Linked DNA regions of Saccharomyces cerevisiae S288C. The gene in region 1 interacts genetically with each later gene. Each region holds a gene or a part of one and is shown on either strand. Other genes may lie near its edges. The genes, in order: CIK1, MRC1, RTT109 and NUM1.

Region 1 (3,880 bases):
ACGAAACTGTGGTACCTGAAGATCGTCACAACTTTGAAACCAAGCTTATAGGCAAGCTAAAAGATAAGGTGAAAAATATGAAAGTAACTGACAAGGCTAAAGATGAGGATATAGACCCAATGGACCCAATGAGTCCGTTGAATAAGGATGTGTCTTGATTAACTGCGGTGAACCTTCAATATCTGTACGTTTGAAAAATATTTCCAACGATATACCTCTATATTTTGATCTATAGAATATTTAATTGCAGTAGTTTTTTATCAGTAAGGTAGCGTTGATATTACTAGTGAAGGTAACTCTATAGTTCCTTGACATGTTCTTTAGATTCTAGAGGTTTTTTATTGAATTTGTTTTCCCACCTTATTTAAACTTTGAGAACAAAACTAGCAAAATCAATAATATAAGGACTGCGATAATGGCATAGCTTATGAATTTATTAGCAACTAGCCTTCTAGTCATTGTTTTTAGTGTCTTTATACTTTTATCCACATATGAATCCGCTTGAAACAAGGTCTGTCTTGCATTTTCCAAAGTTTCTCTCTGTGACCTTAAATCCATCATTATTTGTGACCCTATTCCTTCAGTTTCATTTGCTATTCTACTGGCATCTTTTAGTCTATCTCCCGATTTCTGTAAGATTGCATGGTTGCTCAACAACTGTTGCCTTTGGTCATCGTCAATATTAGATGCGTTAAGATCTCCAAAAAGTCTATCACGATCGCCTGAGTCTACTAAGGATTGCAGTGGTCGTTTGATATCGCTCTGTATAGTCTTCTTCCATTCTCTTAACTTCGCCTTGTACGTAGCACGTTCTGAGGCATCGCCTATGCTGTTATTAACTTCTACATCCATCTGATCTAGCAGGTCAAACAACTCATCTTGTTGCTGTTCTACGTGCTTCAGTGTAGTATTTCTCTGTGATAACGGTTGTGAGGGGGCCTCTGCTAAGCTCGCTTTGGCTTGTTCTAAGGTTGTTTTGAAGTCAGATTCGTATGATATTAATAGGGAACTCATAGTAAGCCATGCAGCAATGTAAAGAGTGCGGTTGATTCGTTTTATACAACTTAATGTAAAGCTTTACACTTTTCCAAGAATAGTAATTGCCCTATATAGCACGACTACTCCACTCCTAACTTTCATTGAAAATTAGACAGTCATGTGATCAGTAATATCGTCCATAGTGATATTTGTTTGTTTACCATTTTTGTTCTTATTTACTCTCTAATATGATTCTAGTATATGAAAGATACCACTGTCGTAGCTCGTATCAAAATAAAACTAGTCAGTCGTTGACCATTGAGCATATCGTCCGAGAATAAGGCTTTACTGTATTATTTTTTGATATCCACACGTTATTGAGCTCATTCACTGATCGACACATTTAGGCGGCTTTTCCGTTTGGCTGAAGCAACTTTGAAACACAACTACGACATTATAATTAAGCGCCTAAATAAGTGAATTTTGTGCCATAGGGTTGGACCGTGTATATATAAGAGCTATTCACTATTTTAATATTTGTTTTGGCATTTGAAACTCGTTGACATAAGCTTTATTATTAGGATGAATAACTCCAAAATTCCTAAACTTTCCTTTCATAGTGATCCAAACAACGTCACTCGAGACTTTCCAAAGACAAAACGACAGAAGGTTCAGAAAAGAGAAATGGATATGATACTAACTCCTAATAACAACAAGCTAAATATATTGCACAGCTCTGGATCTGGTATACGGCGCTGCTACACTGATGACACCTCCGCTACGTATACTAAGAAACTAACCTTTGGGGGGGACCCCAAGATTATTGAAAGGGTTAAGAACAATGAACGTAAGGTTAGAAAAGACATAGATTCACTACTGAATGCTATTTCTGAAATTGAAAAGGAATCTGTTCGTATTCATGCCAGGGAACTACCTGCAATAACATTAGAATTAGATGCAAAAGTCAAAGCGTGCAGGGAGCTACAAAATGAGATTGATGGACTATCAACGGAGATGGACTTGAAGGATAATCAATGTGATCTTCAAAGAAAGAATGTTGAGCTATCATCAAAAAATATAGTGTCTATGCATGCAGTAAAAGTACAAGAGTTCGAAAACGATTTAGAGGAAGAGCTATCGAATGCCAAAAGGGAGTGGACGTATAAATTAATGGAAGTAGAAAATTTGAAACCTGACGAAAGGTTAACTGACGAAATGCGACAGCTTAAAACAGAATTCGAGGAGGTCAATAGGAAACTATTCATTCTACAGAATGAAAATGAGAACGAGTGTAAAAACTACAAAAAAGAATTGGACAAGAAATTCGAGATATTCAAGAAAGTTAAGAACGATGCTAGAATTGAATTAGATGGGGAGCAAGAAAGACTTTCGAAAGTTTTAAAAGACCTACAAGACACCCATGGTGAACTGAAAGAAAATATTAAGACGTGTAGAGATGAGTTTAACGATTTTGAAAAAAGGATTGGAGAGGCAGAAGTGAACTTCCATAGCATGGAACTTGCCGTTGTTCCTCTCAAAAAGAAGCTTGCTTCTACATCACAAGCATTGACGCAAGTGCAGGAGGAGAAGAAGCAAGTCGAAGGAGAAGCAAACAATTGGAAGAAGAAGTACGTTAATGAACTAGAAAAGGTTCAACAGGAATTATACACACGACAAAATCTGGCCACTTCAATTGAAGAAATCAAAGGATACACCCGATGCTTTGCGTATGCCAATGAACGACAAATGCCTGATGAATTCCATATCAACTATGTGGATCGGTGCATTTGCGAGAATAGTGGAGAAAAACGGGTACAAGTATTTGATAGAGTAGTTCTCGAAGAAATCCATAAGGATCACAAACGCTTATATAACGAATGCATTCCGTTCCTGGAAAAATACATCAGCAAGTTAATTAACTGCAGCATTATAGTGGTTTCGCAGCAACCCACAGCACCAATGAAAAAGACTTTGCTAAAACAGTTAATTGAGCAGTACGGTGAGAATTATAAGATGACATTGAACATTTTGCATCTTGACGGAAGTATTAAACACAGTGACGTTGGATTAGATAACCCAACAGAAATTAGAGATCTGTCACAAGATGAAGAATGCATGAACATTTTAACTTTAGATACCAAGTTGGGAAAAGATGAAGAGTCCCATTCAATGAATATATATATCGGTAGTATGTCCACGGTACAGCTGAATAGAGAGCTTGATGATGCTCCCTCAGTCCTTTCGCATATTCTCACTAAAACAAAGCAGTGCTTTGTCTTCAAGATTAACGCTGGTGAAAACATCGAGAAGGCTCTAGCCTTAGCGGGAAAGCTGAAAAGAACAATAACATTACCTCAGCTAGATTAAGAAGGCCAGATCTTGTGCGCTACAATCACTTCGTCTCGTTCCCTTACATAAAAAACTTACGTAGCTACATTGTCGTGCGTGGCATCAACCTAATTATCCTAGCAAAATAAAAGAGAATGTTACGGGACTAACAGGCGGATGTAAATTACTCACTTAAACGCAGCCAAACATCATCGAGAACTTAGGGTAGCGTGCCACAAAATTTGCATGAATAAACTTTTGTTTTCCTAATTCGACAGCATTCCCTTGTTCGCAACACTTCACTGATAGGAAATCGAATAGCGCACACTCTCTTCTGGGACATACCCCAATGCGGTAAAGCCACGAAAACACCGCGCGTAAAGGGGTAAACAAGTCCATTCCTACAACCTCTTGGAGAAATTCTTTACCTACTACAACCCCGCGCCTGATACTTTCAGTATTCATGACAACTCGAGCCAGATCCCGCTCGTGGGCGTGTTCATTCTGTGACGATCCACTAGCGACTTCTTTGTTCAGCCTGCAAGAGACGCGTTCAAGGAAGAATTCGCGATTT
Region 2 (5,845 bases), on another chromosome or scaffold:
AGTCGTAATGGTCCTCGTATTTCAAGTTCTAAGGCGTTGTTATCATCATTCATTGCACGATCAGATACACATACGGTAAAAGAGAACAACACAAATCTTAAGCATGCATCTTTTATGGATAAGTTTAATTCATCGTTAAGCACAATATCAGAATCTTTTCAAAGTAAGAGGGGGAGAAAGAATAAGGGCATGAATGAAGAACGAATATCAAATCATAATGTAGCACAGGAACAAAAAAATAATATGGATATAAGCGTCTCTATAGAAGAATTGCAAGATGCTTTGAATACAGAACTGCTGTTTTAATTAATGCCTCCTTTACCTAACCTACTCTTCTTTTGCTCCAAATGTTTATTCTTTTTTTTTTTATTCAGAATATCTTCAAGTTTTTTTGTATCTTTTTGTATTATTATTAAACTTCTTTATAATATTTGTCTTATAAAATCCTATCATAACATGACTATGGCTTGGCCTAGACTCGGGTGCCATCTTTTTTAATGCGACTACTTCAAGACAGCTTCTGGAGTTCAATCAACTTCTTCGGAAAAGATAAAAAACCACTAATTATCAAAGCTATCTTGTCCGCTTTCAAAAAGTTTATTCGATTTTGTTTTCGTTTTCATTTTCATTTTTTTATTATGATGGTCATGGTGGTAGCGGTGGCTCCCTTCAGTTTTCCTCTTTGGTGCTATTAATTTTCTCGTTTTCCCCATATATGTGATAGAAGCTTTTGAACTCCCCACTGTCTTGTAAGACTTTAGAATCTTGACTGTCTTGTTACCTTCTTTAAACTTATCATTTATGTCTGTTCTGGACGCAAAGGATTTGATTATTGATGGATGTTTGAAAACGCCAACTAGTGATGTATCTCCATTTTCCACCTCATCTTCATCCTCTGGGCGCTTTTCTAAGTCAATTATTGTGTTTACTGTTTTTGAAGTGGTCGAATCAGTTTGAGAATTTGTGAATGACTTTATCGAACTATTCTGTTTTAGGGTATATAAATCTTCAATTGCTTCATCATTGCCATGTTGTATCCTTGATAGCTCCTTATCCGTTTCAAAATCCTCATAATTATTACTTTTTAGGAAGGATAAGCTTTTCTGCACAAAGTCTTCAGATATGATAACCTTTTTGTTCTTTTGATCTACAGGTTTCTGTTCATTATTTCCCGTATTATCACCTACATTAATGCTATTGTCCTGAGTATCTAGGTCAGTAGCCGTACTTGTAATGTCTAGGTTATATTCCTCTTCAGCCCCGAAGGGGTTTTTATATTCGATAATATCTTCCACCATACTTTCAAAAAATGCGCTCGACTTTGGGTTTTTAACAAGCTTTGCATCATCGCCAATTTCTAATCTCCTTTTTCTCATCAATTCTCTCCTTTTGAGACGATATTGTTGTAGTACGTCGTCTTCATCATCATCACTTAGTTCTAGCTCTAAGCTATTTTTTGCTCTTTTATTACGAAATCCTCCATTTTTAATGTCATAAAGAATTTTGTTTATCATTTTGATATCCATTTCCTTATTTTCTGCGGCAAGCATTTCTCTGATTTCATGAGGATTGAAATTGTTCTTGGAATAATCATCGATCATTTTTTCTAGGTCAGAATCATAGTCGTCAGATCCTTCTCCATCTGCACCACCGATACCATGCCATTCATCCTCGGATTCTTCGGCTTCCATTTCAAAGAAGTTTGTGACACCTCTTTTCTTCAACTCTTTTATCTTAGCCTCGTGCTCCTTTTCTTTCTGTTTTAGTTGCAATTTCTCTTTGTCAATCAGCTGACGGCGAATTGCTTCATCAGCTTCTTCATTGACGTATACATCATCTTTGACTTCATTTTCGATTGTATTTCTTTCGGCCATCACCTCTTCAATGTTTTGTGTATCTAGAACATTGGTTTCTTGAAATTTGTCGGTATCCTCTCCGATATTATCACCGTAATGGCCCAGATTAATGGCGATCCTTTTCGGTAGACTTTCATCAGCTTTCTCTTTGGGTTTGGCTTCGACTTCGGTATCAGAGTCTGATTCGTTAATGATATGTTTCACGTGGTGGGATTTTTTTTGCTTTAGAATAATTTCATCATCTTCCTTTTCACTATCGGATTCTCTACGATTGTCATTTTCACTACCAGATGATTCATAATCGGCAATTTCATTACCACTCAATGCAAATCCAGAAGACTCTGACCCTGAGTCAGAACCGGAATCATGGGCGTTCAATTGAAAGTCATTTTCTTCAAGTTTTTCCCTTCTCTTCTCTTTTTGTCTGATTCTTTTATTTCTAAGAATTTCTTGTTCTAGCAAGTTCTCTACTATTTCCTTTTCTTTGGCCATATCCTCCAGCTTCAGACCTTTCGTTTCAATCACTTCTTTCTGATGATCCAGAATTTGTTTCCTGCTAGCTTTCCTTAAGGTATTTAATAGTACATTATGATCAACTTTTGGGTCTTTACTTTTATTCGGCCTTTGAGACAACTTTTGATTTTGTTTAGAGAGTCTTGCCTTCAGGTTTAATATAGTCGCCTTTGATAACTGAGAGATTGGCAAAACGCTTTCATCTTTGGATAATTTAATGCTATCCATATCATCATCTCCATATTCGTCACTGTCGCTGTCGAGGTCCAGTGTTATGCATTTCGAGGAGTCAATTTCCCGTTTCAAATTATTAGCATAGGAGCTCAATAGTGGAACCCTTTTCTCATTTATTCTTGTCTCATCAGTTAGATTTAATTCAACACTTTTGTTCTCATGCAGTTCATCGTCATTCTGTACTGGTTTTGGATGTGCATTTTCCAGCTTTATATCATCGTCCTCATTTGAGGACGAATCGTCAAAATCAGCAAGAAAAGACTCTTTAGAAAAAAATTTTTTGGTTGGTATTGGCTTTTGCGGTTTTTTGTATTCGACATTTCTAGCTTTTTCCCTTTTAGAATCTTCTGAAGCCAATTCGCTTTGTATTTCCCGAATTTTTAATGTGTGTGGTACTTCATCTTGAAGTGTTTGTGCGACTGTATCTATTTGGGTTTTCTGTTCCTGATGCGTAGCCTGTGGAATACCAATTGCTTGTGTCTTATCCTCATCATGCGCAGTCTGTGGTGGTACATCCATTTGGGTGTCAGGACCACGATTTTGAATGGACTGAAATAAAGGACTAGTTCCAATAAGTTCCGTTGGAATTATAGGAATTTTCGGCGACAGAGCATTAGAATGATTGCTGGAAGTCGTAATTATTTGGGATTGTGGTTCAATTGATTTTATAGGCTGAGTTTGTGAGGTTGCACCGCTGCTATCTATACGCTGTGTAGCCCCTGGCCGTCCTGTCGTGAGAGGTGTTTTCAGCGCTTGAGAAGTTTCGTTGACGAGACCATCTTCTTTGATTAATTGGGTGGGTTTCCCGTCATTAACGGAATGGATAGGTACGTTAAACACCTTGTCTTGTTGGATGCTGACAGGTATTCTTTGCGTCTGCGTGAATGAAGAAGAGACATTTTTCTCACTGTAACTATTATCTTTAACTTCGGATTTCTCCAGCTCTTCACCACCATCGTAAAGATTAGAGATTAATTGAGTTGGTAACGAATTCTCACTCCTATCTTTTCCATTATTGTGATTCTGTTCGGGTGCTTTCTTGCCTTCTAATCTGTTCTTAACACGATTTAATGTGGCATTGGCAAATAAAAACCCGTTCCCAGTCAACTCTGGCGGATTGTCTATGTCATTGGGCCCATTTCCATTAGTATTATCGTTCTCATCTAGTATGGGAACAGCAACTTTTTTGTAGGTGGTAGTTCTCTTCTTTGCAGTCAACGAGGACAAAGCATGCAAGGCATCATCCATCACTAAAATATTTGGTGATAAGTTCAAAAGCGAATAACGAACTTCCTTAGTTGTTTGTCTGTTCTTGGTTTTTTTCCAACATAATGTGTTTGAAATGCTATTGAAGCAAACGCGTTTTACGCATTCTATCTCTTCATGACGCGTCGAAGAAGGATAAGGAAAATTTCAAGTATTGATGTATATCTCTCTGCATATGAGAGCCAGTAGAGTTGGTGTCCTAGTAAGAATTTCTTTCACTTTACAAACATATCTAAGTAAACGAAATGTGTGTGTGTTTCTATATATATATAGACATATATGAAGGATTCCGTAGCGGTGTAAACTAATTTTGGTTTGGCTTGTATGCTTCTTCTTCCGGAGCTATGAAATCTTTTGCTCTCTCTTCCTGCCTTTCGATTTCTCTTTCCATTTGCTTTTCCTTTTGCTCATTTAATTTCTTCATTTGCTTTTCTCTCTTGCTTAAGAAATACTCACCACTTTCAATTTCCAAATCAACCTTTCTAGGCAATTGGGCAGGAGGAAATGGAGTATAGACCTTCTTTTCGACGTTTCTGATCTTCTTGGGTTTCTTTCTGGCCACATTCCTCTTCTTAAACATGGGCAAGAATCTTGACCAATCTTCATTGGCTAACTCTGGCCTTTTTGCCAATTCTCTTTTTATCATTAATTCCTTGATATGATAGATAGGGTGAATATTTTTCATACAATCTTCTACTACTCGACGGACCTCCTTCAAGCCCTTGAAGGGACCCATGGCACTTACTGTGTTACCTTGTACTAGAATGTAACATTTAGTTAGAAGTTCCAAAGCCTTTAAAGTATTACCGTTAGGGCCTACAAGACGTTGTCTTCTCTTGACAAACCTTTCTTTGTTAGTAACGAAATTACCAATTTTAATAACGTCGCATGCCATGTCATCTTGTAGGATCTTAACGGCTTGCGGGAAAGGAACGGATCTCGCCAATAATTTGATCAAATCTCTGGCTTTCAAAATGATAGCGGGATCGTATGTTTTTCTAGTTGTTTTTACTGTCATAGAACCTTCGACTAAATCTAGAACACACGCTATGTTGTGTTTGTCTAGAGCCCTTGTTACATCATTCCAAATCGTCTTCAAGTAACTTTCTCTGTATTTAGGAAACAAAGTCATAAAACTGGACTCTTCAGCAAAAGGTTGACCGGATGCGTTATCCTCTTCCTTAAACTCCTCTATCTTCCATTTATCAATATCATCCGTATCCCAAGGTTTATCTCTGTTATGTGTAGACACCATCGTTTGCCAATTTGGATATTTGTGTGACCCTTTTGTTTGCTGTCTACTTTACAATAGTTAACCTCATCATCTCTTTTTTTTGAAAATTTTCATATCTCATCGCTAAAAGAATTAGAAATATAAGGAAAAAAAAATTTTCGTTTTCAGATGTGCAAGCCTGCTATAATAAGGTACAATAACTCAAGGGCATTTAGCAAGGAAAAAATGGGCAAGTGTAGCATGAAAAAGAAAGGTGTGGGCAAGAATGTTGGTGTTGGCAAGAAAGTACAAAAAAAGAGGTCGATCAGCACCGCTGAAAGGAAGAGAACAAAGTTACAAGTGGAAAAGTTAAACAAAAGTAGTGAAACAATGATACCGACGCTGCTGCGGGAGGCAAGTACACAAGAGCCAGCTAAACTGAAAGCTGAGACTACTTTGAAAGCCGAGGAGCTGATCAAGGACCAGGAAAAGGACTCCAAGGTACGAGAGCAAATTCGGACAGAAAAATCAAAAACAAACGACAGCATGCTGAAGCAGATCGAAATGATATCCGGCTTTTCCTTATAGGGAATAGTGGTGAAAGTTACGTAAATATATACATATAGAGCGGAATGGTACTGCATATTTTTATTATTTTTTTTTTTGAATATATATAAAGCATCGTCGCTTAAGACTAAACCTTCGAGGATCTGAGGCCAGCGCTGGATCTAAAGATGGCGTCGCCCTCGGCGTAGCCTCTTCC
Region 3 (3,608 bases), on another chromosome or scaffold:
TAGAGGAGAATTTGGAGATATGTTATTAAGTTGAAGAACTAACGGTCTTCTTGTGACAATACCAGTACCCCTAGGTAAAAAATCTCTTCCAACTAACGTTTCCAATATCGAGGATTTCCCGGAGGATTGTGACCCAACAACAGCTAAAATGGGCAAATCGAGTGTATCGATCCCGGAGTCGTACATAACATCCTGCAGCTTGTTGACAGTAGGAATAAGATCTTCTAAACTAGCCATTCTTTATCCGTCGTATTTAGATTCGCTGGTAGCTACTTAATGATAAACTCTTTAGCAAATTGTGGCCAACCTGAGCAGTAGAGTAAAGGTAATATTTCATCCTACCCTCTTATTTATTGTTCCCACACTTTGTTTTGCCCGACCTTACAGGCGTGCACCGCGTAGTAAAAGTTGAGGACCTATCATTACCTAGAAAGGTGGCGATCAAGGTACTAACAATAAATACAAACATGCATTTTCTAAGATCGATGCTACATACGTGTACTAAATAATAAATATCAATATGTATCAAGTTTTAGGCAAGGCTTTAGCTTTTTTACGCGGTTTTAGCATTGTTATCGCCAACGTGTTGATGTTGCTTGCAGGAACCGGCTGATTTCTCTCCCGATGCTCCCTCTTCCCTGTTAAAGATTGAAGATTTGTTGCCATTCTGAGCAATAGAAAATCACGAATATTGGTGAAAGCTTCTATTGCGCCTTCCTCTGTATCGTATTCCTCTCCAGTAATGTACTTCTTGATTGCCCTAAACTGCTTCCTTGACTTCGGTACAATAACATCGGCACTAGATGGAAATAAAGATGGAGTGGCAAGAGAGTATCCCGAAATACCCATTACAGATGATGTGACACTTAATTTGAACTCTTGACGCTCTTGTAGTTCAATCCAGAAGGATGATAAGCTTACTTTGAGGAGGCGATCTTCCTCTGCCAATTGGTGTATAAATCTAGCCTTAGGATCGTCTGGGAATAATGGAATATTATATACCGCAAGAGAATTTTCTTTAGAGGTAAATATATCACCCACTTGCCATAGTGGATATTTCATCCCTCTTAGGTATGATCTTACTCGAGCAGGATCTTCGCCCGGTATCCTTAATTTTGCTTGTGTATCATTTTGAAAGCATTCAATTAGTAATCTATCCAAAATAAAGCCCCACCATTTCATTAGTTCCTCGCCATTTAGTATATGCTTTTTGCTGTTTTTTGAAGAATCTGGGAAGAGGTACTGGGATGCAGGTCTAGTAAATAAACAAATTTTGGTCAAAATCTCACGAGGACAGGTGAATGAGAGATAAAGATCTTGTTGAAAACGTGGAGATTCTATTTCTTTCAAAACGGTGCTGCCTGACTGTTTAAGCCTTCTAGCCAAAATCCTTAAAGTTCTTGCTGGCGTACTGGCTGCGCTAATCAGCTCGGGGGATATCTTCTTATATGATCTTATTGCCGGTTTTACTTTTTGAAGATAGTAATTCGGGTCGATTGATAATATAAATTCTAATATTATTTTTGTAATATCTCTAACGCTTACCCTCGTATTACAATAACCATTAGTGTCTGCCTTTGATACAAATATTAACCGTTCGGCATCTGCTTCATCCCAAAGCGTGACATACACATACACTTCTAATGAAAAAAAAACTTTTCCTTGGTGAAATAGACTAAAGAAGTGTTGAGTCTTGATCGTGCTTTTTGGGACCCTTTTGTCGTCCTTATTTGGGGTTACGACAGCATGGGTTTCTAACGGAATAGATTGCAACGATAAGTATTCAAATTGTTCACTGACAGGTAGCACGGAACTTAGGAAGTCATTCAGTGACATGTCTTATTGAAGACCGGTTGAATTGACCTTTTAACTCTACTGGACAACTCTATTGACAAACTGTAGTTTGTTAAGTAATGCGTTATGGCGTCCATTTTCCATTATAGCTTACAACGCGAACACGAAAAGTATAGTATGTTGTGATGTTTTCATAGACCTGGAGAATATTATTAGTAATTGTATGCATCTCAGAAGCAAGAAAGGTTACGACTACATATGCACACATACATACGTACATAATATATATATCTATTGACGTTTACGACTTAACGGGGATTTATCATGCTCTCTTATATAATCCATATCTTGATCGATTTTAGGAGAATTGGCGCTTAGGCTAAAAGGTACAGCGGGTATTCTGCCAAAATCAATATGGTCAACTTTGGATGGCATGTTTCTAGTGGTACGCCTAGGAGAATACCTTAGAGGTTTTCCTCGCGTCGGAGATCCGTTTAAGCCTGTCGTACTTTCAAGGTTGATCTGTTTTTTAGCTGTAGAATCAAGAACACTGGAAGATTTCACCGGACTTGGTATGGCTCTTCTTGCCCTGCTATAATGCGACTTCATCGCTTCCATTCTGTGCTGCTTTATTCTTTCTGAGCCTGGTATGGTTGAGGCGTTTTGAGAGTCTGATCTTATGGGAGTTTTTAGTTCATGTTTAAGATTGAAGTCCTTCCTTCTCTTTGGAGAACTGTCTGAACGATTTTTCCATAATAATAACAATCCCCTTACAGTGGCCCTGTCCCACCGATGACGAAACACCTCGACTGTCTCATCATTACGCTTAATTTTTAGGAATCGAAGACTCCACATTTTCAAGAATTTGGATGTAATTATGAATTGTTTATTAGCTTCCGATTGTTCCAATAATGTACTCATATAAAATATTTCGTCTAGATGAGTTTTCCAAATATAAAACGTCTTGACTAACACAAATTCTTCGCGAACTTCGTCTGCTAATTCTTCTGATTTTACTATCTCTAAAAGTCTTTCTCTAAATTTCTTCAGCACCATTTTTTCAAGCTGGTAGTTTCTCTTTGAAATAGCCTGAATGTTACATTCTTCTGTGTAGAAGCAAAATCTATTTCGCCAAGCGTTGAACAGTTGGCTTTGAAGTTCGCGCTCTTTACTCTTTTCATAAACGTGTAAAATATCGTTTAACTTATGCCTGACTTTGAACCTTGTGGCTTTCCGCCACTTTAAAAAGGCCTTAGAAAGCTTTACTCTATCCATAGAGGGCGCCAGTTTCGTATATAGCAAATGAACATTATCAATATGCATTAGCGTCCGTTTTACAGTCAAAATTGCATGTGTCTTACATAAGAAATTGTATCTATCCTCCAATTCCTTAGTTTTAATCAGGCGTTCTTTCCATATAGCTAGACACTCATTTACGAGACCCTCTTCGTAAAATTTGGATGCTTCGTCATTCATAGAATTCATTTGTAGCATCCTCCTTTTCCACACACCAAGATATTTTGCACAAAATGCCGTTTTAACATGTTCGCTCGATATTTTCCCATACTGTATTCTTTTCCTCCATGTACGATACGCGCTTGCTTGAATACTCTTTTTACATTTCTGCTCAAATATTTTTAACTTTACTTCAAGTTTCCAACTTCGCAATGATGACTTGAGCAAATTAGTCCTCGAATAATCGCTTGCTTTGAGGTCAATATATAGAAGTTTTTTCCATGAATGAAAAATACGCTTCACGAGGTTAGCCTCTTTTAGACTTACAATTGAATACAAATGCAGATGGTCTTCGAATC
Region 4 (4,665 bases), on another chromosome or scaffold:
CTTGCACTTGACTAGGTCTTCGTATGCACTATCCGATAGTAAATGGTGATTGGTGGCCTTGGCATGTTCAACTAGGTATTCCAGTGATGGTTGTTCTAGTTTCTTTTCCAATTCAGAATATGCCTCGTTGGATACCACAGTGTGGCCTAGTTTGGCAGACTTCTCCTTCAAGAATTCCATATCAGGATTCTCCTTGCACTTGACTAGGTCTTCGTATGCACTATCCGATAGCAGATGGTGATCGGTAGCCTTGGCATGTTCGACTAGGTATGCTAGTGATGGTTGTTCTAGTTTCTTTTCCAATTCAGAATATGCTTCGTTGGATACCACAGTATGGCCTAGTTTAGCAGACTTCTCCTTCAAGAATTCTACATCAGAATTTTCCTTGCACTTGACTAGGTCTTCGTATGCACTATCCGATAGCAGATGGTGATCGGTAGCCTTGGCATGTTCGACTAGGTATGCTAGTGATGGTTGTTCTAGTTTCTTTTCCAATTCAGAATATGCCTCGTTGGATACCACAGTGTGGCCTAGTTTGGCAGACTTCTCCTTCAAGAATTCCATATCAGGATTCTCCTTGCACTTGACTAGTTCTTCGTATGCACTATCCGATAGTAAATGGTGATCGGTAGCCTTGGCGTGTTCGACTAGGTATGCTAGTGATGGTTGTTCTACTTCCTTCTCCAATTCTGAGTATTTGCGTTGCAATTCAGAATATTCCTCGCTAGATACCACAGTATGGCCTAGTTTAGCAGACTTCTCCTTCAAGAATTCCACATCAGGATTCTCCTTGCACTTGACTAGGTCTTCGTATGCACTATCCGATAGTAAATGGTGATCGGTAGCCTTGGCGTGTTCAACTAAGTATGCTAGAGATGGTTGTTCTACTTCCTTCTCCAATTCTGAGTATTTGCGTTGCAATTCAGAATATGCCTCGTTGGATACCACAGTATGGCCTAGTTTGGCAGACTTCTCCTTCAAGAATTCCATATCAGGATTCTCCTTGCACTTGACTAGGTCTTCGTATGCACTATCCGATAGTAAATGGTGATTGGTCGCCTTGGCATGTTCAACTAGGTATTCCAGTGATGGTTGTTCTAGTTTCTTTTCCAATTCAGAATATGCCTCGTTGGATACCACAGTGTGGCCTAGTTTGGCAGACTTCTCCTTCAAGAATTCCATATCAGGATTCTCCTTGCACTTGACTAGGTCTTCGTATGCACTATCCGATAGTAAATGGTGATTGGTGGCCTTGGCATGTTCAACTAGGTATTCCAGTGATGGGCTCACGTAGTCTTCTTTTTTGAGTAATAAATAATCTGATGCAGAAGCTTTTTCTCTTAGAAAGTCTATCGTTGGGTTCTTTAAACCTTCTAAGGCTTTAGTATCAATCAGCACTTGGTCGTATTCTTTTGCCTTATCTGACAGGTATTGTTTCGAAGGTGTTTCTATCTTATTAACCATTGAAAAATACAGATCATTACTTAGCCATTTACAGCCGTTTCTCTCCTCCAGCCATTTACAAATATTCGATTGTAAGTCGTTCTTTGCTTCCAGGCATTTTTTCATTTGTTCAATTGATGGATTCTTGACACTCTCAAAAAGGTCATTATAATCTTTGGTAGGTATTATCAGGCAATCAATTTTGGATGTTAAAGGCAGTAAAAAATCAATAGTAGGCTCTTTTAACAAGTTAAACGTACTTTGATCGATGGGTATCTTTTTCAAAGCCTGAAGTTTTTCCTTGAGATAGTTATATGATGGATTTGATAGGGATTCGTTTAGGTTCTCAAACTCCTCTAGAGGAAGAACTTTATAGCCAGAAGCTTCTAAATATTTAATATGAGATTCTAACGAAAACTCTTTTTTGCTGTAATTGTCATCATTTGGTAACGCGATCATATTCAGGTTTTCAGCCACCTCTTTGGTCATTAATTCATCGTCTTTTGGTTTGGATGCACTTTCACTTTTTTGTAGTAAGTTTTTATATGAATCATTCGATAACAATATCATATTGTTTTTTTCTGAGTATTTCTTGACAAGATCTTCAGAAATGTCCTCGACAGAGGGGCCTGTTTCAATCATGTGGTCAATTTCGATCACTATATCAAAAATGTCTTCTTCACTAGTGGTCCCCTCAGAATCAGGATCAGATGTTACTGTAGTATCGGAAGTATGCTGTTTTTGATAATACTTCTTTTGTACTTTTCTTTTTAACGAAGAAATAGATGCTTTGGCGTCATCAAGTTGCTTTTGAATTTTTATTCTTTCAGTTCTATTGCTCTGTAAGGAATTAATTTCACTTGTTAGATCAGAAACACTAATAAGTAATCTGTCGTTTTCATTATTTAAGTCTAAAATCCTTTCCTTTAATTCACTAATCTCTTTATCGTAATGAAGTTTTTGAGAGCTAAGATCATTTTCCATGCCATTTTTTGTTAATGTTAAAATTTCCAAATCTGTTTTCAGAAGTTTCAGGCTTTCTTTTTCATCATTCCAAGATTTTTCAGTCTTTTTCTTCAATTCTTTTAATTGCCTACATTCCATGCTCAAGTTTGTTAATTTAGATTCTAAATCCCAGTTTAAATCTTTAGTTGAATCCAACTCTTTCATGAAGGACTTTTTTTGGTTAGTGAGCTCCTCAATCTTGTCACTTAATGACTCTTTAATTTGCTTGAGAGACTTGATTTGCTCATTTTTAGCTTCATTAGAGGATTGCAATTTCCTACACTCAACCAACAAATTCTCGCTTAGTTCCAAAGTAAAGTTCATATCCTTTGATGAATTCGCCGTGAGTACTCCATTGTGGGAACTACTGCCTGCAAATTCCGGAAGCACGTCTTTTGTCTCTCTTTTACTCAAAATACTTGAAATCGAAAACCGCTTTGTTTTATCTCCTTCATCACCACTGCCGCATTCATCAGCCTTTAAGTTAGCCATCCTTGTTACGCCGTTCGTTGAGACGCTTTCCTGGCTTAATGAATTGTCAATGCTATTTGCATACTGCCCTGCTGAGCTGTCTTTATCGTTATTCTTTTTATGCCTGTTGTTGTGGGACATATTCGAACGTCTCGTGGAAAGCCTTGACCGTTGCGTCTTTACTCGTCTCTATTCAACCCTGTGGTCCTATTAGAACCGATCTTTGTTCCATCGTCATTACTACTTCTTGTCTCTTCTCTCTTGGGGAATAATAAACAAAACAATTCCAGCCACCCGCATCTCCGTCAAAGACGATATTAACAACCCTTTTTTTGCAGCCAATCAAAACTAAGGTCCTGCCCGGAGTGAGCCAATAAAGCGGCCACAAATTACGCAGGAATCTATGGTTCCTAAAGCTTATTCTTATTCTACATTAGCACCATTCTACTACAGGGCTCGGATCCACACTTGGTCTATCAGCAAATGCAAATCCTTTTTCCCTCAACTAGGCCTACTTTTCATATATAATCTCTTTTTGAGCTTCAGGGGAGGAAATATCTAACGTAAAAAAAAGAAAAATCCGAAATAAAAAATTAGGCAGCTATCTTTAACGGTATATATCAGTGAATAGATATATTGTTATAAACTTCACTACCACATTTGTTACAACCAAAGACACAACTTCAGATAATTATTTAAACAATGCTTTCCAGAGCGACGCGTACTGCAGCTGCCAAATCCTTAGTAAAATCTAAAGTGGCTAGAAATGTTATGGCTGCTTCTTTCGTCAAGAGACATGCTTCTACAAGTTTGTTCAAACAAGCTAACAAGGTCGAATCCTTAGGTTCAATATATTTATCCGGCAAGAAAATTTCAGTTGCGGCGAATCCGTTCTCCATAACTAGCAATCGTTTTAAATCTACCTCTATTGAAGTTCCTCCGATGGCAGAGTCCCTGACTGAAGGCTCTTTAAAGGAATATACTAAAAACGTTGGTGATTTTATTAAGGAGGACGAGCTGTTGGCCACTATTGAGACCGATAAAATTGATATTGAGGTCAATTCGCCAGTATCAGGTACTGTTACGAAGCTAAATTTCAAACCAGAGGACACTGTCACTGTTGGTGAGGAGTTAGCTCAGGTCGAGCCTGGTGAAGCACCTGCTGAGGGTTCTGGAGAATCTAAGCCAGAGCCTACCGAACAAGCGGAGCCATCGCAAGGTGTCGCCGCAAGGGAAAACTCAAGTGAGGAAACGGCTTCAAAGAAAGAAGCTGCTCCAAAGAAAGAAGCCGCTCCAAAGAAAGAAGTTACAGAACCAAAAAAGGCTGATCAACCAAAGAAGACCGTCTCTAAGGCGCAGGAACCCCCAGTAGCCTCTAACTCTTTCACACCATTTCCACGTACAGAAACCAGGGTCAAAATGAACCGTATGAGATTGAGGATTGCCGAAAGATTAAAAGAGTCTCAAAACACTGCTGCTTCCTTAACCACATTCAACGAAGTTGACATGTCAGCTTTGATGGAAATGAGGAAACTGTATAAAGATGAGATTATTAAGAAGACCGGTACTAAATTCGGATTCATGGGTCTTTTCTCCAAAGCATGTACCTTGGCCGCCAAGGATATTCCAGCCGTCAATGGTGCCATTGAAGGTGACCAGATTGTTTATCGTGATTACACAGATATTTCTGTTGCTGTGGCCACTCCAAAGGGTTTGGTTACCCCCGTCGTTCGTAATGCAGAGTCA

Evidence for each region.
Region 2: mutations in CIK1 (region 1) and MRC1 together harm fitness more than expected from each alone (negative genetic interaction), as found in Saccharomyces cerevisiae (6 studies listed by BioGRID, with this or other methods).
Region 3: mutations in CIK1 (region 1) and RTT109 together harm fitness more than expected from each alone (negative genetic interaction), as found in Saccharomyces cerevisiae (4 studies listed by BioGRID, with this or other methods).
Region 4: mutations in CIK1 (region 1) and NUM1 together harm fitness more than expected from each alone (negative genetic interaction), as found in Saccharomyces cerevisiae (3 studies listed by BioGRID).

What each region holds. Positions count from the first base shown.
Region 1 is NC_001145.3:658,185-662,064, forward strand, and holds CIK1 (Cik1p), read left to right. Parts: upstream 1-1,560; coding exon 1,561-3,345; downstream 3,346-3,880. Other genes in the region: YMR196W (uncharacterized protein), read left to right, coding at 1-158; v-SNARE protein VTI1, read right to left, coding at 361-1,014. UniProt on the Saccharomyces cerevisiae protein: Together with the minus end-directed microtubule motor KAR3, involved in spindle midzone assembly, karyogamy (nuclear fusion) during mating, and with an essential function in meiosis I.
Region 2 is NC_001135.5:18,256-24,100, forward strand, and holds MRC1 (chromatin-modulating protein MRC1), read right to left. Parts: upstream 3,852-5,845; coding exon 561-3,851; downstream 1-560. Other genes in the region: VAC17 (Vac17p), read left to right, coding at 1-306; ribosome biosynthesis protein KRR1, read right to left, coding at 4,174-5,124; FYV5 (Fyv5p), read right to left, coding at 5,268-5,726; ADF1 (Adf1p), read left to right, coding at 5,329-5,670; MIC10 (Mic10p), read right to left, coding at 5,777-5,845. UniProt on the Saccharomyces cerevisiae protein: Required for normal DNA replication. Phosphorylated in response to DNA replication stress. Phosphorylation allows it to mediate the activation of RAD53.
Region 3 is NC_001144.5:144,519-148,126, reverse strand, and holds RTT109 (H3 histone acetyltransferase RTT109), read right to left. Parts: upstream 1,837-3,608; coding exon 526-1,836; downstream 1-525. Other genes in the region: dynamin-related GTPase DNM1, read right to left, coding at 1-237; SFI1 (Sfi1p), read right to left, coding at 2,086-3,608. UniProt on the Saccharomyces cerevisiae protein: Histone chaperone-dependent acetylase that modifies 'Lys-9', 'Lys-14', 'Lys-23', 'Lys-27', and 'Lys-56' on histone H3 (H3K9Ac, H3K14Ac and H3K23Ac, H3K27Ac, and H3K56Ac) to promote nucleosome assembly, genomic stability, DNA repair and transcriptional regulation during mitotic S-phase.
Region 4 is NC_001136.10:754,023-758,687, reverse strand, and holds the start of NUM1 (Num1p), read right to left. Parts: upstream 3,061-4,665; coding exon 1-3,060. Other genes in the region: KGD2 (dihydrolipoyl transsuccinylase), read left to right, coding at 3,622-4,665. UniProt on the Saccharomyces cerevisiae protein: Controls nuclear migration. NUM1 specifically controls the interaction of the bud neck cytoskeleton with the pre-divisional G2 nucleus. Functions in dynein-anchoring.